Danio rerio: one gene and its partners. The protein of the gene in region 1 binds, or shares a complex with, the protein of each later gene. Links are inferred from orthologs where the notes say so. Each region holds a gene or a part of one and is shown on either strand. Other genes may lie near its edges.

Region 1 (7,773 bases):
CGCAGGGCCGCCAGCAGTTGTTCATGGGGTTGTAGCAGTCCAGCGTGTGTGAGTCCATGTTCCCGTCGGGCCCGTTGTTGCGTCCACCCACGGCGTACAGCAGGCCGCTGATGACGCAGGCCGCCAGCCCGCTGCGGGGCACCTGCAGGTCCGCCAGCCGCAGCCACGCGCCGCTGCAGGGGTTGAAGGCCTCCAGGAAGCTGAGCGACTGCCGGAAGTATCCGCCCACCGTGTAGATCAGCTGCGGCACCTTGGGCGTGCGCAGGGGGATGACCTTGGTGGGCTTGTGCAGCGTCAGGTCCCGGAAGATCTGTGACAGGTAGTCTTTGCTCTGCGCGTCCCACTCGAAGTGCTCCAGCTGCCGCTGCAGGAAGTGCGGCGTGAGCGAGTGGCAGCGGACGGCCTGCAGCAGCGCCTGCACATACGGACGCCGCTCCTCACGGTCGTACTGAACCCACGCCACACACGCGTGGAACACCTCCGACTCGCAGCGCACGTTCAGCTCGTCCCGGCTGATCAGGGTCACCAGCTGACAGTGAGACAGGGTGAAGAACTCCTCCTGCGTCGCCACCTGCAGGACACACACCGCGCGCGCATGTTAGAGTTGGGGTATTGGTGGTGAGGGCATGCTGTTGGGGGGTTTGGGTTAGGGGGATGTACGGTGGTGCAAAACAACAACACAGACTGAAACACTTACGAAGCTCGAGACAAAGGTAGACTCTGGAAAACATTTTCCCACGATAAGACGCAACTACAGAGGAGAAACCATCTCCCCAAGGAGAAACACAAGAACAAGACCCAAAACACTGTTAGCAGTGCCCAAACACACTTACAGGCACACGCAGAGGGAACGCTCCACACACCGGGAAATATCTATAGAGTCACGGTTTGACCTGCTGCGATTAAACATTGTTCTTGTTCTTGTGTTTCTCCTTGGGAAGATGGTTTCTCCTCTGTAGTTGCGTCTTATCGCGGGAAAATGTTTTCCAGAGTCTACATTTGTCTCGAGCTTCGCTTCGTATTTGACATGAAACGCACATTTTACTCATATATGTAGCGTGTATATGCCCATGAGCTGCCCAGGCGGAATCTGCACACGGTTTTGCTTTTTCTGCACAAAATTGTGTTCAAAATCTGCGGATTTATGTGTAATTATTTTAGGAGTATCATGACTAAAACCCTAATATATGAACTAAAACTAATCCCTTTAAACTTTAATTTCATGTTTACAATGCAAATCCATACAGATCCACTTTATTTGGTAAACAAAGCCAGTCTCTCGTATCATATCTCTCCTGAAGACATGACTGCACACTGCGCTGTACATAAATCAGATCAACATTTTCAGATCAGTCAATAATATTACAGAATAAGTACAGATGTACACACACTAACTCAAGTGAATAGACAGAATCAATGATGAGCTAAACATCTGCAGAATTCTGCGGGCCCGAATCCTCAGTGATCCCGCCGGGCTCAGATCATTTCTCTTTCTCACTACAGTCCATCTGCTCCAGAGTTTTAACTGAACCTCAGTCAGGCGATCTCGGACTGATTGATTTGGTGCAGATCCAAGCACAATTGCTGGATTCACATATGCCAAACGAGCCGCGCTGACTGGACTAACGGGACGGTTCCGAAACAGAAGTGTGGGTGTGAAAGCCCCTTATTGAGGCCTGAACTCTTGTGTTGGTGTGTGAGGGGTGTGAGAGCGGTTATCCTGTGTGCGTCGGCCGCTCTGACCTGGCTGAAGTTCATGTAGATGTACTCTCTGGCCTTCTGGTGGAGCTCCGTGCAGCCGATCTGCTCGGCGAAGCTGGCGATGCCGATGGCGTTACTGGGGTCCAGCTGCTCCACCAGGAAATCACAGCAGGCCTGAACCACGCTGTCGATCTGGTACATCACGGCGCCGTTCATCACGTGGATCACACACTTCTCACCCACTGAGATGCTCGCCGTGTACGCAAACTCAATGAGCCGGCCCATGACCTGGAGACAAGAACACACACGCACACACACACACACACACACACACCGTTTCTGAAGTGGGCACACTGAAAGGCACAGGTCACCTATAATGAACATGTCCTCCTCCTTTCCTCACTCGAGCGCTTCTACAGCTTCATCAGTCTCTGATACTCTGAGGAATGCTGGGAAAGCAGCCGCTGACGTCCACAGCAGGAACAGAAACACTGCTGCAGTCATCAGCTGCTTCCTCCAGGACATCTACCGCTGTGTTCAACAGAAACTCAAACAGGTTTGGAGGAGGAAATGAGGAGAGAGAACAGCTGCTGTCACTGATCACCTGACCACTGAGCTGTGTGTGTGTGTGTGTGTGTGTGTGTGTGTGTGCTGGAGCTCAGGAGAGGAGCTGTACACATTCAAGACCATCACTGTATCATGATGCAACACTCACACAAACACACACACTCACACACTCACACACTCGCACACACACACAGCTGGGAAAACTGCACTACAAATCCAAATTCCCATTTATTATTTTTTCCTAGTGTGTGTGTGTGTGTGTGTGTGTGTGTGTGTGTGTGTGTGTGTGAGTGTGTGTGCTGGTACCTTGGGGTGTATCCCCTCGATGGGCACCACCTCCATGCCGCACTCCTTTAGGCCGTTGGTGAACATGGCGCGGAACACAGGCGAGGACGAGGCCAGCACCACCTTATGCGCCACGAAGTCGACGTGTGTGTCGAGCGGGCAGTAGCGCACGCGGAGTGTGACGTCACACAGCTGTCTCTCGCGCCGCAGCTCGTTCATGATGGCGAAGGCGGCGGCCGTGTGGCTCTCCAGCGTGTAGCTGAAGACGCGGTGCCCATTGCTGGCCGACGGCGTCACCTCCGCCTTACACTCCGTCATGCCCGCCGCCGCCAACATCAGCGCGGGCACATCCTCACTCGCCAGCGCAGCGGTCACGAGAACACACACACACCTGTGTTAGAGACACGCACACATCATACACACACCGCTCATCACCAGCAGGAACACACGCAGAGGAACGCTCACATATCTGTGTTCTCCTGACCAGTGTGAACACACACACACACACACACACGCACACACACGCGCCTGTCAGTCAGTCTGTAGAGGAGGGCAGAGCTGCTGATCTGTGTCTGCACGCGAATCCTGAGGGGGAAACACACACACACACACAGAGAGAGAGATTAGAACAAACACTGAGGATTCACCACTGACTACGATAACACACTCTGCCATGAATGATCAGGAGTATCACACACACTCTCACACACACACACACACACACACACACACACACACACACACACACACACACACACACTCTCTCTTCTGTTGGACTCAGGACTGGTTCATCAGATCTTCGTCAGTGATTTGATCAGAACTAATGAGTTTCAGGAGTTCCTCCTGTCGTTAGCAGGAGTCTATCTTCTGCTTACACACACACATACACACACACTGACTACACACACACTGTCCTGCTGTCAGTGAACCAGAACACACTCTGATCCACACTTAGTGTGTGTGTGTGTGTTTATGAGTGTGTTTTTGTTTGTTTATGAGTGTGTGTACAGGTAAACAGAATCTCACACACTGTTAAAAATGCAGGCTTCCACACAATTCATTCATCTTGACCCAACACAAGTCGATTGAGTTAACTCAACACATTTAACAAATGCGTGTGGATTGAACATAAGAAATTTAAGTTCTCACAAATGAAACCTCAAGAATTGTGTTGTTTCAGCTCATTTTAAATAAGTAGTTTAAAAGAGCAAATATATATGCAGCAGGTGTGTGTGTGTGTGTGTGTGTGTGTGTGTGTGTGTGTGTGTGTGTGTGTGTGTGGTTCCAGCTGTCTGCTAGGTTTATTTTAATGTGTTTCTGTCAATTTGCTGAACTGAAGTGTTTATCTCCGTTTATCCTCCTCACCCCGGCTCTACAGTCATGCTTTAATTTGATTTCCGCTGTTTTCAGCTCTTATAATAACACTAAGAACACAAAGCGCGGTAAATACACATAAACAGCGAGAGGCCTGAGATCCCCGGGCTTGAGTTGAAACGGCACCGGCCCCCGGCAGCGCAGATCCGGCCACACTCAGCAGCGGCGCCGCGCCCGAGCGGGAAACCACAGACCGAGGCTGAGGAAAAGTTCAGCGCTACGCGACCCGCGCTTTAAATTATTGATGGAAACGCGAGCCGACCTCAAATCAAAACACTTTATTCGTGTTATTACCATGTTCTTACCGCGTTATAAGCCTCCATAAACAACACAGTGATCAATCAGGAATAAAGATGAAGATTAATAAAGTTCATCATGAGCTGATCTTCATCAATAAGGAGACAAGCCGCCATCCTCATCCTCACAGCTGTACATCAGAAACTGCATCAACACGAGCCTGTAGATCTGACAAACGCGGCAGTAATGTCGATTAAACACAGTAAACAATGAAAACACACTCACGGGCATCAGCAGCAGCGCACGGACACTCTCTCTCTCTCTCTGTGTGTGTGTGTGTGTGTGTGAGCACTTCTGTGTGTATGTGAGTGTGTGTACTTGTGTGTGTATCATACCCACTGAAAGCAGAAACTCAGCGTGACTAAGCATTAGCTGGCCTGTGTGTGTGTGTGTGTGTGTGTGTGTGTGTGTGTGTGTGTGAGATGCAGTACTGATGTTGGACACGAGGTGTCGCTACAGGTCAATAGAGCGGGCTGCTGCTGGGCTGTGTTTGAGCTGTTCTGCTGTTGGCTGTTCTGGGATCTGTGGTTCAGCTGACTGAACAGCTTCTGTTCTGTTCTGCTCCAGTGTGATCATCAGAGGAGGAGCTGAGCTGAGCTGAAGCTGCACACATCTCATGCCTATACTGGATCCAAAACACGATCAGTAAAACAGTCCGGCTCTCAGTGAGCAGAGCGGAGCGACAGATGGAGGACTACATGCAGAGTTATGTGTGTGTGTGTGTGTGTTCAGCAATTAACATTTTACACTGAAGGACACACACACACACACACACACACACACACACACACACACACACACACACACACACACACACACACACTGCCTCTCCAGTCTGACTTTCATTAATGAGTAAATAAACATTAAAATCTTTGTAGAAGAGCCCAATCTGTGAACAGCTGACCTCTGACCTCTGACGTGCCCGTCTACTGGAGCAGCGACTCACACTCTACTGCACTTCAGTCTGACACTCACGGCAGAGCAACACACACACACACACACACACTGGTCAGGAGAAGCTGAGAGACACACACACACTCTTCACATCTCTATTTTAATATTTCATGAGAAGTTCCAGTTTTGACAGATGACTAAGCTTGTGTGTGTGTGTGTGTGTGTGTGTGTGTGTGTGTGTGGGTAAGAAAGAGAGAGTGTGAGCGATTGAGAGATGCCCGTGGTTTAGGTGTGACGGCTCTGAGGTTGGTTTGAGTGTGTGTGTTTGTTTACGGTAAACAGTGTAAAGGTGAGCTCTGTGGTGTTTCCATGTTTGTTTGTGTGTGTGTGTGCTTGTGTGTGTGTGTGTGTGTGCATGTGTGCAACAGCAGCCCCTCTGCAGACGCACAGCTGAATTTGCAGTCACCCACATGTGTTTGTTGGTTTCCGACACGCACACACACACACACACACACACACACACACACACACACACACACACACACACACACCACACACACACACTTGTGTTCTGAGCTTTTAGTTTTTGTTTCTTCTGATGATCACCATCCCAGAAATATTTGGAGTAATTTTGGCAGCTCGTCTCCTCTCTCCTCAACCCTCACACACACACACACACACACCTTCACACTCCTCCATTCTGCCGGCTCTATCAGCCTTTTTCCTCACAGAGACCCAAAATAATGTCCCCATGAGATCATTTACTGGTATTGCTATACTTGTGGGGACATTTGGTCCTCATAAGTGATGAACACCAGATAAACTGACCCACACATATGAAGCAGCTGTAGGTTATATTCTGTCTGGGTTATTCATACATGATTTATTATACAATAAAATAGAACATCATTTATTTACACGTTAAAGCAGTAAAGCGTCCCCACAGCGCTGACACACGAGCGGCCGCAGACCCCACAGACCCCGCAGACCCCGCAGACCCCGCAGTCTGCTCAGTCCATCACGAGCTCATCCAGCTGCGCTGACCCTCAGTTCTGCTGCTGAGCGCTGTGGAGCCAGAGCAGAGACAGCACCACAGCCAGGACATCTGCTCTCTCTGAAGCTCATCACACTCAGTCTGAAACACACATCTGCTGATAGAGATCTGCAGGTGTGTGTGTGTGTGTGAGTGTGTGTGTGTGTGTGTGTGTGTGTGTGTGTTGACCTCCTTTGAGGCTTCTGAAAGGGTTTTTTGCCCCCGTGTGAGTCTGGTGTCCAGAACACTGCTCAGTTCCTGCCGTGTGACGTGATGTGTGTGTGTGTGTGCGCATGTGTGTGTGTGTGTGTCTCAGAGTCAGGTGATGACGGACAGCCGCAGTTTGGGGTAGATGGACTTGTGTATGGACGTGGCGTTGGCGGATGAGAGTGTGTTCTGCAGGCCGTGGCGGTGTGTGTCCGGTGTGCAGCGGCAGCACAGCAGCTTCAGCACGGCGCTGCGCACGTCTCTGCTGCTCAGCGTGTAGATCACGGGGTTCAGCAGCGAGTTCAGCATGGCCACGCCCAGGAAGTAGTCGGCCTTGAAGAGGATTGGACAGGCTCTGGCGGGGCAGGAGACATCCAGCAGCAGCAGCGCGAACAGCGGCGTCCAGCACAGGATGAAGGCGCCCAGCACCAGCGCCACCGTCCGCAGCAGCGCCATGTGTTTGCGGGACCGCTGCGTGTGTGTGTGTGCGTGCGTGTGCGCCCTGACCAACAGGAAGATGCGTGTGTACAGCAGCACGATGGCCAGCAGGACGCCGCTGAGCACCGACACGCAGAACAGCACGTAGCTCTTGGCGAACAGCGGCAGGACGGTGGAGCACCAGCGCAGCTCCTGCAGGCAGTTCCAGCCCAGCACCGGCAGCGCCCCCAGCAGCACCGCCAGCGCCCAGCTCAGCCCGATCAGCGCCCGCATGCGGCGGCGGCGCCTGGAGCTCTGCTGCGGCCTGGAGCTCCGCATGGTGCAGGCGCGCTCCACTGCGATGGCCAGCAGACACAGCACCGATGCCGCCAGCGTCACCAACACACCGGCCTCCCGCAGGAACCACAGCGCCGGCGTCAGGCGGAGAGTGTTCCGGCCCGACAGCACCACGTTCAGCATGTAGGCCACGCCAGCCAGCAGGTCCGATAGCGCCAGGTTGCCCAGCAGGTAGAACATGGGCATGTGGAACCTCCTGTTCCTGCGGAGGGCCAGCAGGACCGTCAGGTTCTCAGCGATGATCAGTAGGCAGACGCACAGCAGCGCCACAGCCTCGGGCTGCAGGCCATCTCGGTACCGGCCACGCTCCAGCTTCCCGGTGTAGTTGTAGTGGCGCTGCAGAACCGCATTGCTCTGGTAGGAGCTGCAGAGAGGAGAACTGGAGCTGTTGGAGGAGCCGGACGCATCCATCTGCAGATCTCACACACACACACACACACACACACACACACACACAGATGCTGCAGAACACTGCTCTGCCTGGGGGGGGGGCGCTGGAGAGCACTCAGCCCATCCCTGATGAAGACCTGCAGAACATGAAGGAAACAGCAGCAGTCAGCACTTCATCTCAGCTAATATTACTGCAGAAACACCTCAGCATCATCGCCCCCGCCCTGTGCTGTGTTCCTGTCATTTCTCTG
Region 2 (7,631 bases), on another chromosome or scaffold:
TCAATTTTCAGATTTCACTTACAAAATATTCAATACCCTTTAAAAATACGATGTATAATATTCAAAAGGTCATTTTCAGTTCATTTTATTTCAGTTCAAATATTCGCTTCCATAAATTCAGTGGATCAAATTCGACTGTTAAAATTCAACATTACATCCGGGAACTGCAGGAGAAGCAATAGATTGCAGAGTGAAGATCGCCAGCTGCTCTAGCTTTCACCAGCAGGTGGAGATGGAATAATGTAAGATTTGTAACCCAGTAAACAGGCGAGAAAAAGGCTAATAAAGGCACAAAAGTAGCATTTAATATTAATATCAATGCCTTGGACATTATAAATGATAAAAAGTACGAGTAAAATGAGTAAATGAGGTTTTAGTCATCTATATTTGCCCTTATGTAACGGAAGCCAGCTGGTGATCGCGTAAATCTCAGTCCTCGGATCCAGCGACAGACGTTGTTCTGCAATCTTATCGGAGCTTGTCTCCCATGCTGGCTCGCTCCCTGCTCAGACGGGTGCAGTTACTTGCACATAAACCGTCTATTGATGAATATGATGTTACACATTGCCTATCTTTATTGACTCTTTCTTCCATAGACGCGAAGTATTATATTGACAGCTAAAGAATATAAACGTAAGAGAAACAGGAGAGGAAATATTATAATAATAATACAAAATAGATAAACATTGACAGGGCTAAGAACAATTACGAACAAAGATATTCAAAAGCAGAGAGATTTTATGAGAATGCCACACAAAACAGTTTACTTGGAACTGTTAAACAGAGTTCAGGTATGATTTAAGGTTGGTTATGGATGGGGCGTCTAATTTAAAATAATTTAACATAACATGCGAATGCATATCATTAATATTACTGCCACAGTACTTTCTATACAAGTAAAGAGTCTGCAGCTTTATATGTCTCAAATGTGTGATTAGAGCATGTGCTGCTGTAATAAACATTTGAGAATCAACAAGAGCTAATCTATCCCTACTATTATTGCCACTAGTGTACCACAGTACTTTCTGCACGAGTAAAGGGTCTGCTGGGTAAGAGGGCAACTATAAGTATATATGAACATGTGTGATTAAGGTCAGCACCAATAGCCTAGTGGTTAAGTGCACCTCCATATAACACCATGGTGCTCACGGTGACCCGAGTTCGATTCCCAGCATGAGGGCCTTTGCAGATTTTTTGCATGGATAAAGTGTCTACAAGACAACAGGGCTGCTTTACAAATCTTTTAAATGTGTGATTAAAGCATGTGCTGCTGTAATAAACAATGAGAATCAACAAGAGCTAATCTATCTTGCTATTATTGCCACTAGTGTACCACAGTACTTTCTGCTTGGGTAAAAAGTCTAAAAATTGAGTATAAAAATCTCTGATTAAAGTCAGAGTCAATGGCCTAGGGGTTAAGTGTGCCAACATATAGCACCATGGTGCTCACAGCAACCCGAGTTCGATTCCCAGATTGAGGTCCTTTGCTTGCTCTTCCCCTCTCTCTGCTTCCAACACTTTTCTGTCTGTAACTTCACTATCCTATCCAAATTAAAGCTGAAAAATCCTTTAAAAAATTATTATAAAAAAAAATGTGTGAATAAAGTGTGTGCTGCTGTAATAAACATTAAAAATCCACAAGGGCTAATCTATTTGTACCATTATTACCACTAGTGTACCACAGTATTTTCTGCATAAGTAAAGAGTTTAAAAACAGAGTATAAAAATCTATGATTAAAGTCAGAGTCAATGGCCTAGTGGTTAAGTGCGCCGACATTTAACTCCATGGTGCTCACAGTGACCCGAGTTCGATTCCCAGCTAAAGGCCCTTTGCTGACCCTTCCCCTCTCTCTGCTCTCAATACTTTCCTGTCTGAAACCTCCACTATCCTTCCCATATTAAAGGTGAAAAACCCTTTAAAAAATTATTATAAATAGAATATGTGATATAAGCGTGCGCTGCTGTAATAAACATTAGAGTAAACAAGTGCTAATCTATTCATTCCATTATTGCCTCCACCACAGTACTGTCTGCATGGGTTAAGAGTCTACAGGACAGATTTATACATCTCAAATGTGTTATTTAAGTGTGTGCTGCTGTAATAAACAATGAGAATCAACTAGAGCTAATATATCTGTACTATTATTGCCACTAGTTTACCACAGTACTTTCTGCATGAGTAAAGAGTCTACTGGACAGGTTTTTATTTCTCAAATATGTAAATAAAGTGTGTGTTTTGCTGTAATAAACATTGAGAATTAATCAAATGTGGGATTAAAGTCAGCACCAATGGCCTAGTGGTTAAGTGCGCTGACATATAGCACCATGGTGCTCACAGTGACCCGAGTTCGATTCCCAGCTAAAGGTCCTTTGCTGACCCTTCCCCTCTCTCTGCTCCCAATACTTTCCTGTCTGTAACCTCCACTATCCTTCCCATATTAAAGGTGAAAAACCCCTTAGAATAATTATTAAAAACTGTGTAATAAAGCGTGTGCTGCTGTAATAAACATTAAGAATCAACAAGTGGTAATCTATTAGTCCCATTATTGCCTCTACCACAGTACTGTCTGCAGAGTAAGTTACTTGACGATGTTTAAATGTAAAAGTCATTACTGCAGGAGTTTCACAACACAAAGCTGAAATAATAGCACACAAATGCAACAGCATAAAGATAAAGAAATATAAATATACAATCTCAATGTCTAATAATGTTTTATGCACACAATACCAAGTGATATCTTTGGTTTGTAATCATGAGGACGATCATCTATCAATGCTATTATTGCCACTAGTGTAGTCTAACAATACTTTCTGCATGTGTAAAGAGTTTACAGTACAGACTTATACATCTCAAATATGTTATTTAAGCGTGTTCTGCTGTAATAAACAATGAGGATTAATCAAATGTGGGATTAAAGTCAGCACCAATGGCCTAGTGGTTAAGTGCGCTGACATATAGCACCATGGTGCTCACTGCGACCAGAGTTCGATTCCCAGCTTGAGGTCCTTTGCAGACACTTCTCCTCTCTCTGCTCCTAATACTTTCCTCTCTGTAACCTCCACTATCCTATCCAAATTAATGCATTAATTTTTTTGTAATAAGTATTATTACAAAAATAAGTGATGCAAGCGTGTGCTGCTGTAATAAACATTAAGAATCAACAAGGGCTAATCTATCTATTCAATTTTTGCCTCTACCACAGTACTGTCTGCATGGGTGAAGAGTCTGCAGAGTAAGTTACATGATAATGCATAAATGGTAAAGTCATAACTCCGGGTGTTTCACAACACAAAGCTGAAATAATAACACACAAATGCAAAAGCATGAAGATAAAGCAATATAAATATACAATCTATCTGTCTAATAATATTTTATGCACACAATAACAAGTGATGTGAAGTCTTTGGTTTGTAATCATGAGGATAATCATCTATCAATGCTATTATTGCCACTAGTGTTATTTAACCAATATGTTACTTAAGCGTGTTCTGCTGTAATAAACAATGAGGATTAATCAAATGTGGGATTAAAGTCAGCACCAATGGCCTAGTGGTTAAGTGTGCTGACATATAGCCATGGTGCTCACAGCGACCCGAGTTCGATTCCCAGCTAAAGGTCCTTTGCAGACCCTTCCTCTCTCTCTGCTCTGAATACTTTCCTCTCTTTAACCTCCACTATCCTATCCAAATTAAAGCTGAAAAAACTCTAAAAAAATAAGTATTATTACAAAAATATGTGTAAGTGTGTGCTGCTGTAATAAACATTAAGAATTAAGAAGGGCTAATCTATCTATTCAATTTTTGCCTCTACCACAGTACTGTCTGCATGGGTGAAGAGTCTGCAGAGCAAGTTACTTGATAATGCATAAATGGTAAAGTCATAACTCTGGGTGTTTCAAAACACAAAGCTGAAATAATAACACACAAATGCAACAGCATGACGAATAATGTTTTATGCACACAATACCAAGTGATATCTTTGGTTTGTAATCATGACGATGACAATCTATCCCTACAATTATTGCCACTAGTGTACCACAGTACTGTCTGCACGAGTAAAGAGTCTACAGGACAGCTTTATACTTCTCAAATGTGTAAATAAAGAGTGTGCTGCTGTAATAGACATTGAGAATCAACAAGAGCTAATATATCCCTACTACTGCCACTATAGTGTACCACAGTAGTCTAACAGTACTTTCTGCATGTGTAAGAGGTCTGCAGGACAGATTTATACATCTCAATGTTATTAAAGCGTGTTCTGCTGATTGAGAATGAACTAGAGCTAATATAAGTACTATTATTTCCACTGGTGTACCACAGTACTTTATGCATGTGTATGAAGAGTGTACAAGACAACAGGGCTGCTTTATATATCTCTCAAATGTGTGCTTAAAGCGTGTGCTGCTGTAATAAACACTGAGAATCAACAAGAGCTACTGCTGTCAGTGTTGACGGAGCGGACTGTTGTTGTGTTTCATTGAGTGATAGTAGCGGGCGACGCCATTAAAACTCCGTCCTAAGAAGATAAGCAGGACTCGGTAAGTGTGCTAATAACCCCCGGCGGTGCTCACCAGCTCACGCGGCCCTCAGCAGCTCCGTCCCGGGCTCTCATAATCCGCACGACACGCTAACAGGAGCGAACGAACCGCGGTGTCAACCTGCTACTATATTTCAAAACACTTCCGGATTTCAAATAACAGAGGAAATCCCGCCCACCGCTCTCTATTAAAGCGGGCTGTCAATGGCTGGAGCTGCTGTCTGTATGGAGCGGATGGCCAATCATAAGCGCTTTTAAGAAAACTATTTGAATAAAACTAAACATGCTTGATTTGCGTTTGTTTTTCTTTTTTAAATTAATGTTTGAAAGAATATAATAGCTTGCAACAATCGTGAGACACATCTTCATACACCTCCAAGTCTAAATAGCAGTAAGAAAAATAAATATATGATAATTAAATAAAGAATCTGCATTCATGAATGAAGTCGTGGGCCAACACCACAATATTCAGTCATACATTTTCTTTTTGGCTTAGTGCCTTTATTAATCAGGGTTTGCCACAGCGGAATGAACCGCCAACTTATTTAGCATATGTTTTACACAGCGAATGACTTTTTAGATGCAACCCATCACTGGGAAACACCCACACACACTCATTCACATACACACTCATTCACACTTATACACTAGGGCTAATTTAGTTCATCAGTTCCCCTATAGCGCATGTGTTTGGACTGTGAGAGAAACCGGAGCACCCGGAGGAAACCCACGCCAACACAGGGAGAAGATGCAAACTCCACACAGAAACACCAACTGATCGAGCCGGGACTTGAACCAGCGACTTCTTGCTGTGAGGTAACAGCGCTACCCACTGCGCCACCGCGCCACCCACACCACAATAGTATCAACCAAAAATTTAACATCACAATTCCTATAAAAAGACAACTACCCAGGTTGCACAGAATTCTGCCCAGATTTGGCTCTTTTTTTTTAAGGCGGCACACAATACTTGGGCCAGATGACAAATGTAGTATTTGGGCCAGATGTTAAGGATTGATATGTAAATCTTGACCCCATTTAATATACATTTTTATTATTTTCAAATAAAGAAAAAAAATCCTACCAATCAGGTCGCTTCGAGAAAAAGCATGCCCACAGTACGCCTAAAGCGCACTGCTTCATGGGTTTATCAATTTCATTACAGTGCCCACAGAGCAAATGTTTTCTGGCCCAGCTCCGGCCCACACAATAACTTTTTTCCTTGGCCCAACTACCACAAGGAATAACGGTCCTGAAGTGGCCCATAACTGGATTAAAGACTGAAGCTCTGCACAAGACTTTTGGCCAGCGGAGAAATTAAAATGGTCGTGCCCAACTGAGTCTGGTTCTCTCAAGGTTTTTTTTCTTCACTCCATCAGGTGAAGTTTTTTTCCCTCTCCGCTGTCGCCACTGCCTCGCATGGTTCAGAATTGGTAGAGCTACGCATCGATGAATTTGCTCTTCAGTGTTTGAACTCTTAGTAATGTTAATTACTACTTACTTAGTAATGATTAAATCACACTGAACTGAGCTAAACTGAACTGAACTGAACTTAAACACTAAAACCTGAACCACACTGTTCCAGTTACTGAACCGCACTGTTCCAGTTACTATGACCATTTATGTGAAGCTGCTTTGACACAATCTACATTGTAAAAGCGCCATACAAATAAAGCTGAATTGAATTGAATTGAATTGTTTAAATCACACTGAACTGAGCTAAACTGAACTGAACTTAAACACTAAAAACTGAACTACACTGTTCCAGTTACTATGACCATTTATGTGAAGCTGCTTTGACACAATCTACATTGTAAAAGCGCTATACAAATAAAGCTGAATTGAATTGAATTGAATTAAAGACAAGGGCCACACATGGGCCATCACCGGCCCAAATCTCACCCAATTTATCACCCTTAACTTGGCTTGAAGTGGGCCAAAACAGGTTTATTATTGGTACGGATTCACAGCTATAAGTTTATACTTTAACCAGAAACCCCAAACACTGAGCCCTAACCCAGCCTAATCCCAAGTAGCAAAATGTTCTGGGCCAGACTTTGCATAAAGCTGGCACAGCAGGCATTCGTCCGGCACTGGCATGCAGCATGTGGGCTAAACATGGCCCAGGTTAGGCTGAGGTGGCACCGTCTTACAGACGGCACTCAAGACTTGGGCCAGATGTCAAATGTAGTATTTGGCCCAGATGTTAAAATGTATATGTGGGCCACGTAAGTTTGGCCTAGCCCACTTTTAAAATGCATTTAAATTATTTTCGAGTGAAGAAAAAATTCTACCAATCAGGTCACTTCAAGAAAAAGCACGGCCATAAAGCGAAATGCTTCATGGGTTCATAAATAACATTGCAGTCGTGACACACCAACATATCTAGCCCAGTTCAGGCCCAGTTATGAGTTATTAACTTGGCTGAGACTTGGCCCAGATATGGTCCATGTTTGCGTCTTGTATGGAAGCCAAACTTGGTCCATTCATGTACCGTAATTCACTGCGGCATGTGGGCCAAGCAAATGCTGATCGTGTGGGCCAGATCTGGGCCAGAGAAATTTTGCTATGGGGGATGTTACCTAAACAATGTGAACAATCGCTACACTGATCTGGGCCACACACTTCCCATTCACAACTGGCCCAAATGTAGTTTGCCGTCTTGCATGCAGTGCCATCATTGCACTGCATGGCACACATTTGGCTGACATTATGCATGCCAGTGCCGGCAACACGCCAGCAGTGCCATAATGAGGCCACATTTGGGCCAAGTCTGTTTGTTATGTGGGCGTGACACACCAACTTATCTGGCTCAGTTCAGGCAAAGAGCTTAGAATGACTAAGAGGTGACACTCAATAGAGCGTTCCATTGCAACAGCAGCGTCCAACAACAGCTCCGGATTTCGCCATTTTGGAGTGAAAGCAATCGGCTGTCAATTGGATCTTATTGAGGTCGCGATGGCAAGCAGCTGCTTTGTTTTTTATTTATTTATTTAAAAATCGCATTAAAGCTGAGATACAACCTGAAAGATGACAATACAACACTTACTATCACGATCATCAGCACTTTCACTAGTTTATTTTACAGACTTAT
Region 3 (7,489 bases), about 32 Mb from region 1:
CAGGCTTCTGACAGTAATAATTATAATTTGTGAAATACTGTGTCGTGGATCACATAACCTTATGAAACGATGTTGTTAAAATGACTTTAATCAAGCGAGTGGCTAAAAATAGTTTCTAATATTTAAACTTCAAAGTTCAATATCACTTGAACCTGAACATTTCATTTCAGAGCGGACTTTGTGATTTTGATAATCTGCACTCAAACCCCTCATCTTGTGTTCTTTACGTAATAACTACACTGTAAAACCCAACAGTCGACTTTATCAAATGAAATGAGTGCAGATAACTCAAAATTTACTGAAAGTAATTCTCCTCATTTGAAAAGAGTTTTGAACTCAGTGTTGAAGGTAATGAGTTAATTAAATTCTTCAGTACTTCGACTTAATTGACGTTGACAGTACTCATATAGATTAGTTTAACTCAAATGGTTTGTAGGAATCGGTTTCCTGAAAGGGTTTGAGTTTTTGCTTTTTATTGGGTTTTACAGTACTCAGTTAATTTGAGTTCTTCATTTATTAGGTTTTACTGTGCTCAAACTGCTTCGTTTACTTAAATGGATTAAGTTCACAGTACTCATTAGTATTAGTTTTTGAGCTTTAATGGTTTGTTGCAATCTGTTTCCTCAAACAGTTTGAGTTACCTTAACTTTTTTGATTTTACAGTGTACAAGAGAGCATAGAAATGCAGTCATCTATGATCTTGATCATTTTTGTTAATTCACTTGTTAACTCACACACACGCAAGCACACACACTGTAAATGTGGCCCCAAGAAATGTGAATATAAATGAAAGAATTCACACAGTCAATTTTATTTAACGCAATATAATTTATACCAGATCTTGGAGATTTAAAGGCCTGAATAATTTACATTGATGTACATTTATTTTTGACAGGCTGATGAAAGAACAAAACATGAACTGCATCTGAAGATGACGCTGGTTCAATTATTCTTGCCTATACAGCTCCAACAATAGAAACAGACGAAACGGAAAAAAAAAGGATGGGAAAAAAAATTAAGAAGTCACAAAATAAATTTCGGTTTATTGTCGCACAACAAATTTCACACATACATCAAACAGGCCACAAATAGATAGCAATTTAACAGACAAGAAAGAAAAGAAGAAAATTCTTTTCCTTTGACTTTGCCCTCTCATACAATCCAACTACGTATGATACAACTGATGTACATACACAAAGTTACTGGAATGCTTTGAATTAAAGATTTTTTTTGTGTGTTTTTCAGTCATTTTTCATTTCTTTTTTTGCTGTGTTTTTTTACAAGTTTCGTTTGAGATAACATGACATGGTCAAACCACAAGTAAAATCTATTTCATAGAGAAGCATCAACTTCAAAGCACCGTTTGGTAACCAGAGATCACTGTCAAAAATGGCTGACCTCCTAACAATATGTACAAAAATATAAAATGTAAATAAAAATACAAACAAATTTTTCCTTTTAAAGTATTTTGTAAGAAGGTAGAGCTTTGAAGTCTTGGTTGTTTCTACAAAATCTGCAGTTAGGTGTGTGTACACGGATGCTGGACTCTACTTGATGATGACCACGTTTTTTTGACCCCTCCCCTGATGAACAAGTTAAGGAAAGGAGGGATGAGAACATTTCCAGCAGTGAAGCTTTTTACACATCAGTCTTTTGCTTCTTGGGATCAACATCATCCTGGAAAAAAAGGGTCAGAGTTACACACTGAAGTCGTTTGGTCAGCCTGAGGAATTTACTTTTATCTGAGGATTTCAGTAACATAAAGTGTAAACTTGCCTCATCATCATCATCATCTTCAGCCGCTCTTTTTCCCGTTCCACCCTCAGCCTCCTCATCTTCATCATCGTCATCACCTGTAATGTGGTAATACCTTAGTAATTCATCTTTATTTACACATTTTGGTTGTCAATTGTTTAAACCCACAGCAGATGTTTTAAAAGCTTTTTTTTTTTTTACTTTCATTAAATAAACATACCTTCTCCATCATCCTCCTCATCTTCTTCAGCCACATCATCGTCTTCCTCATCTACTTCATTTTCTGGATCTCCATTCTCCTCGTTTTCCTAAAATAATAGCATTATGGGTTATTAATGGTCGTACTTGAGGTCTTTTAGTACTGAAAACTTTATGTTGTGAAGTAATTATTTGGAATCGTACCGCATTTCCATTCGCGGGAGCATCCTTTCCATTTTCCGCCTCCTCAACCTGTTTCTTTTCTTTGAGGTCCTAAATAAGGAACAAAATATTTCTCTGTAAATTCTTTGGTTGCTTCTCTTAACTAAACAGCGTGAGCAGAGCTAAATTCACATCCTCTCATCTTCGCGGAACGTGTTTTCATTTCACATTTGAAACGCGACACTTTCTCTCTCTTTATTCATTGGACGCCTGTCTCTTCCATCCCCGCCTGGTTTAAAGACCATATTGAGGTGTTGTAATTTGATACGGCGATGGCGTTACCGCCAAAGTGCGCTGTAGTTCAGTTTATTATCCACATCATTACGCTTGATGAAGACACGCCCGCTAAAAAACTACAACTCCCAGATCACAATTAGTGAGTATTTTAAGTCAGCCAATAGGAGAGCGAACTCGACCGAAAAGAGGCAGGACCGATAAACCTCAGAAAAGGAGAGAGTGAGTGAGTGAGAGAGAGAGAGAGAGAGAGAGAGAGCGAGAGGAGGGGGAACAATAGCGTTGTGCATTAAGGCCTTTAATAATTCGTCTTTTTCGAGCACTATACTATTGTTCTCTCGAGAATGACCATTACTATTAAGATGAGCAATGCTATTTATCTAATTATTTAACACGTTGAATCTCCGTATAAAAGCGCATCGTCCCGAATACCAGGATGTGCTTTCATGCAGCAGCTCGCTCGCATTAATAAATTTAGGTCATAATCCTCAGCTTTTAAGCCGGTTAGTGTCCACAACACGCCTGCAACGCCTTCTCACACACCGTCACCACTACATGCCGCTTCACAGCGTCAGTGAGCCGTACATGAATAATGGACATTTGCCACTGTCTACGAGATAATACTGACCCATTTATTGATCAAACAAACAATGTGGGCAGTAAGCTGAAGCGGAAATCATCTCCGTCTTCCGTAGGCAAACAAGAGATGCAACAAAGGACAAACAGGTCAAAATGTTGTGTCCACAACTGGAGTAGGAGATCCTCGTATGACACCAGTGAGGACACCAGTGAGAAGCGCGCACTCGGCTACATGCACTGAACGGGGCCGTTCACCAGCGCGCGGTCCTGCGCTCTCGGGCAGCCCGACGGAGCGCAGCGCAACGGAGATAGATGTAGGATCCCGAGATTACATTTTAAAAGATGAATGAAGCCGTTGCGTCCTATAACGCGGCGCTCGTGCGTGAATCGCTTGAAGGAGCATCACAGCGAGAAGCAACCTGCAAATGCGTCGATCTAGTTTGTTTGCAAATATAAGCAGCGTGAAACAGAGCCGCTGCCTGCACGGGTGCTCGTAACTTCGGGTTTCGCGCTCTCCTGCTGCGCTGCCCGCGCGCGACAATAGAGCTCATCCAGTCCGCCAGACTGCTGCATCCGCAGCGGGGTTTCGCCGGAGAAGTTTACGCACAAGCTGCGATCGCTGATAGAAGCAACTTCTTCATGTTTCGATACAGACTAACCAGTTCTTCCGTGAACCAAAAGAAGAGCCTCGTTTTCTGTTATTTCCTGTTAATTATCACCTAACGTTATCCCGACGCTGTGCAAAGTAGGTTCAGGTAGACTAGATCCACATAAATCTCATAAGCAGCTGATCAATCTTGTATGATGAACTCTGTTTCACCACAAAAAGTGAACTATAAGCCGAACTTGACAGAACTTAGAGGGCAACGTGAATTAAACCCTTGATAAAGTCCCGCTGAATGGAGCGTACATGTGAAGCAGGTTGGTTCTGAACATAATAATCCCAATGATAAATTTGGGTTTTAAACACTAGTCAAAAAGAAAGCAGCTCTAACGTTACATTAAACATCAAGGAAACGTGCTATAAACAGAGGCATCAGACATCGTGAGGGCTGCGGTAAGTTGTGACAGATCGAGCTGCGGGCTGACGAATCACCGCGTCTCGCGGACTCTACGAGGCTCCGTCAGTATATCCGAGTCTGTATTAAGTAATAATCAAACTCGAGCAACTAAACCAAATGAGCAGACTGGAGATAATGCCTACGATCCTCTGCGTCCATCTCTTTCACTATACTTTTTAAAGAGGAACCGAAAATCCTCCTGCATAAACAAAGACCCCGCGCAGAATACGAACAAAAAGCCTTTTAGTTGCAAATGTGTCCGTAAAAATCTCCACTTCACGAATTTACATCCACGAAGTCTTCAAAGTGACAGTGAGAGGACAAAACACCTACAAAAAATTGCCAAGAATATCCCAATAAAGCTGTATGCTGATTTCCATTCCACAATCCATATTTCATACAGCTCGTCTGCTCATATGAATAAAAAGCAGCATCTTTACAAATCAGTGTAAGCCGAAGTTGTATTCATTACCTTTGCGGAGACGTCCTTGTTGGTATCGACTTTTGTGTCAGCCATTTTTCCTAAATGTTAAGATTATAATGGGGTCTCGGAATAAAATAATATAAAGAGAAACACGAGATGCGAATGATAAAAAAGACTACTAAGGGTCTGTAGCGAGCTCAGACGGCGGCAGAGCACTTTTATAGAAGGAAGGCGGAGCTCGGAGGCGGGCGCTGTCCATTGATTGGTCAACATGCCAGCGACTCTGCTTCGCAGATTGGTCTTGATGGAACAATGGACAGTATTTCTACAAAGTCGGACCCCGCCTTCAAACCAGCCTCTGACTCATTTATGTGTGGAATAACTGTCGATATATACTATCCTGGTCAACCTCACAATGATGGATGGCCTAGATGGACTCAATGGCTAAAAAAACAAAACAAACAAAAACAACAACGATTTCACAAAGAGAAAGCCAGCCAGGTCTAGTGTGTTATGCATGCTTCCTGATGTGTTATTACATTTAGTGACATTTAATTGTCATCATACAATATTTTATCACCCCGTTATTCATAAACACTATGTTAAAATTTCACAAAACGCTGTCTTGTAAACTATACAAACATGTATCTAATCAGTATGCAAGCACAGAGGTTACAAATACTACTAAAATGATCATTTATTTGTTTTAGGAAGCGCATAACCATTTTCTTTATCTGAACGAAAGGTCACGCTGAATGAATATAATATTGCGGCAGTTTGTGGACGCCCCACTGGTGAAACCTGCTCAACATTTGACTGACAGTTCTTAAAACCCGCCTCTTTACCAATGTTTCCACTGGTAAGTGGGTAGCCTTTGTAAAATATTATCCTAAGGAGTTGTGTAGGGTTTTACACACGATATAGTTAAGAAATAATACAAAAATAATACACAGTTGGTTCTTCTATTTAGAACAAGACAAAAGTCGCGATTTTAGATGCCTGATGTTAAGCGGAATCTCACTCGCACTTGCAAACATGAATGATTCGAATGCCTGATGAAAAACAACGGATAATCTCAGTAAACGCAGTGTTTTATAGACATACATTTCGTCGTTTAGATAGGTTATGAAATTTAAAATTTGCACGCTGCGGGGAAAATGTAATGGTGTACGTCTTTACCTCACCAACATGGCTGATTGAAATTCCATATGGCGTCTTAAAGTCTTCTTATTGGCCGATTGGGCCGAACGAACACAGACTTGACGCTTTGCGAGCGATGATTGGATAAAGCCAACGTCAATCAACTGAAGTATCGTTTTTTAAGGTGCTAAAGAAAACATGGAACTGGAGCGTTGTCTTTTCCCTTTTCATTTCTCCATTTTCATGTCAAGGACAGATAAAAGGTGTTAGCAAACACACGCTCAGGACTGGATTTTCGCAAGGGTAATTACTAACAGGTTACTTATTGTCATCATTTAGTCGACGCATTTATTTAAAGAGACTTGCAAATGAGACATATCCCAAGCTATTTATCTCACTAACAAAACAGTTGCAGTAGCGCTAAGTTTACAGAGAGCTGTAGTGTAGTAGCTACAAACGTTACAGAAGTAAAAATTATTATTATTATTTGCACAATACAGTATTTAACGAGGCATTAAAATGAGATTTAAAAACTGCAACCTTGTCATCTAATCACATAATTTATTTGCTTAATTACTATCACTAATAACTTTAAGTATACTTATCAGTATTCTGTATGCTTTGTCATTTAGCAGGCACTTTGCATTTGCTACAGTAACTGCATATATGGATCAAACTAAAGTTTAGTGCCTCGCTCAAGGGCAAAATGATGAGCAAAATCTCCCTACACACCAGTTCCTGGGTCACACTATTTGAAATTAAACCTGCAACCTTTGCATTAGCAGCATACACTCCTGACCATCCAGACTCATCCATTTGTCTCTGTCTCATGCATTTATAATCCGTCATTAAAGAAAACACAACTGTTACATATCAACTACTCGTTCAGTAATGGAATGAATAAATGTTTGATGGTATGAAATTAAAATACAGTACATTCATCAATCAGTTCTAGACAATCTGGGATGATTCTGCACAAGTTATAGTCCATTTTTGGACAAAAATACACTTTTCGATAAAGTTATTTAAAGAAAAATAAGAAAATCATATTATTGTACTGTAAATAAGTATTACAATTATAAAACTACATAATTTTAGGATGTAATTTTGTACTAATAATACAAAATAAAAAATAATAGTAAATGCAAAACTGTTTACTATATCAAATACAGTGTGTTTAAAGACATTTGCATCTGCCAAAATTCTCATCAATGTAAAGATCTGCAAAATGTTTGTGACACCCCCTGGAGTGCTGAAACAATCCTTCACTCCATCTCTCTCTCTCTAGCAGATCATTCTCCACCATTACCTCTGCTATAAAGCTACTGCTACAACAAACTGTGAGAGGGATTGCTCAGTGATCTCTGGCATCTAAATGGAGTCTTTTCCTGTCTGCAACAATAATAACCAATCTGGAAATCCCCCTGCTTTGCTGCCGTCTGGTATGGTTGGTCACGTGATTTAACGCAGTCCCAGGGGCTCAGAGCCCTATTGCCCTGGTCTCTTGGATGGTCCTGTTTACTTACACCATCTTATTGCTGCTGAGAATTCACAAATGGCCTCCGGACTAAAATATGGTCATCCCCTGTTCATTACTGCCCAGGTCATCTAGTAGCACAAAATATCGAGGAAGAGTAATTGGATTAATTTAGTATATTATTATTATAGATTTGTTAAAGATGTTCTTGGTCTTCTATAACACACACATGCACAAACACACAGATATATGCGCTGTGCACTTGTATACAGTCTAGTTTATAAACTGTGTATATACACTCACCGGCCACTTTATTAGGTACACCTGTACAACTGCTCGTTAATGCAAATTTCTAATCAGCCAATCGCATGGCAGCAACTCAATGCATTTAGGCATGTA

Evidence for each region. Proteins that work in one complex are often made in the same cells at the same time.
Region 2: the proteins of keap1b (region 1) and fbxl17 are in contact, whole or in part, in a crystal structure (PDB 6W66), measured with the Homo sapiens proteins. The link is inferred for Danio rerio from reciprocal best matches to the Homo sapiens genes KEAP1 and FBXL17. Residues at the interface, in NP_036421.2 of Homo sapiens: His59, Thr60, Ala63, Ile66, Met67, Glu69, Leu70, Gln75, Leu76, Gln82, Lys84, Ala90, His96, Val98, Ala101, Ser102, Ser103, Ser104, Pro105, Val106, Lys108, Ala109, Met110, Thr112, Asn113, Gly114, Val122, Ser124, Glu126, Gln163; in NP_001156787.2 of Homo sapiens: Asp395, Arg397, Arg421, Lys423, Asn447, Gln473, Tyr475, Met524, Arg548, Asn572, Cys574, Leu575, Trp577, Glu596, Tyr598, Val600, Ser601, Asp623, Trp626, Lys628, Tyr647, Met651, Arg652, Val676, Leu677, Asp679, Cys680, Thr683, Leu684, Arg686.
Region 3: the proteins of keap1b (region 1) and ptmaa are in contact, whole or in part, in a crystal structure (PDB 2Z32), measured with the Mus musculus proteins. The link is inferred for Danio rerio from reciprocal best matches to the Homo sapiens genes KEAP1 and PTMA. Residues at the interface, in NP_001103775.1 of Mus musculus: Tyr334, Ser363, Arg380, Asn382, Arg415, Phe478, Arg483, Ser508, Gly509, Tyr525, Gln530, Ser555, Ala556, Tyr572, Gly574, Phe577, Ser602; in NP_032998.1 of Mus musculus: Gln40, Asn41, Glu42, Glu43, Asn44, Gly45, Glu46, Gln47.

Annotation. Positions count from the first base shown.
Region 1 is NC_133181.1:201,936-209,708, forward strand, and holds the start of keap1b (kelch-like ECH-associated protein 1B), read right to left. Parts: upstream 4,250-7,773; 5' UTR 4,233-4,249; intron 3,139-4,232; 5' UTR 2,890-3,138; coding exon 2,575-2,889; intron 1,990-2,574; coding exon 1,744-1,989; intron 572-1,743; coding exon 1-571. Other genes in the region: s1pr5b (sphingosine 1-phosphate receptor 5b), read right to left, coding at 6,470-7,543. UniProt on the Homo sapiens protein: Substrate-specific adapter of a BCR (BTB-CUL3-RBX1) E3 ubiquitin ligase complex that regulates the response to oxidative stress by targeting NFE2L2/NRF2 for ubiquitination.
Region 2 is NC_133183.1:1,641,754-1,649,384, reverse strand, and holds the start of fbxl17 (F-box/LRR-repeat protein 17), read right to left. Parts: upstream 4,667-7,631; 5' UTR 4,572-4,666; intron 1-4,571. UniProt on the Homo sapiens protein: Substrate-recognition component of the SCF(FBXL17) E3 ubiquitin ligase complex, a key component of a quality control pathway required to ensure functional dimerization of BTB domain-containing proteins (dimerization quality control, DQC).
Region 3 is NC_133181.1:32,299,574-32,307,062, reverse strand, and holds ptmaa (prothymosin alpha-A), read right to left. Parts: upstream 4,667-7,489; 5' UTR 4,567-4,666; coding exon 4,522-4,566; intron 2,227-4,521; coding exon 2,158-2,226; intron 2,064-2,157; coding exon 1,976-2,063; intron 1,854-1,975; coding exon 1,639-1,853; 3' UTR 1,016-1,638; downstream 1-1,015.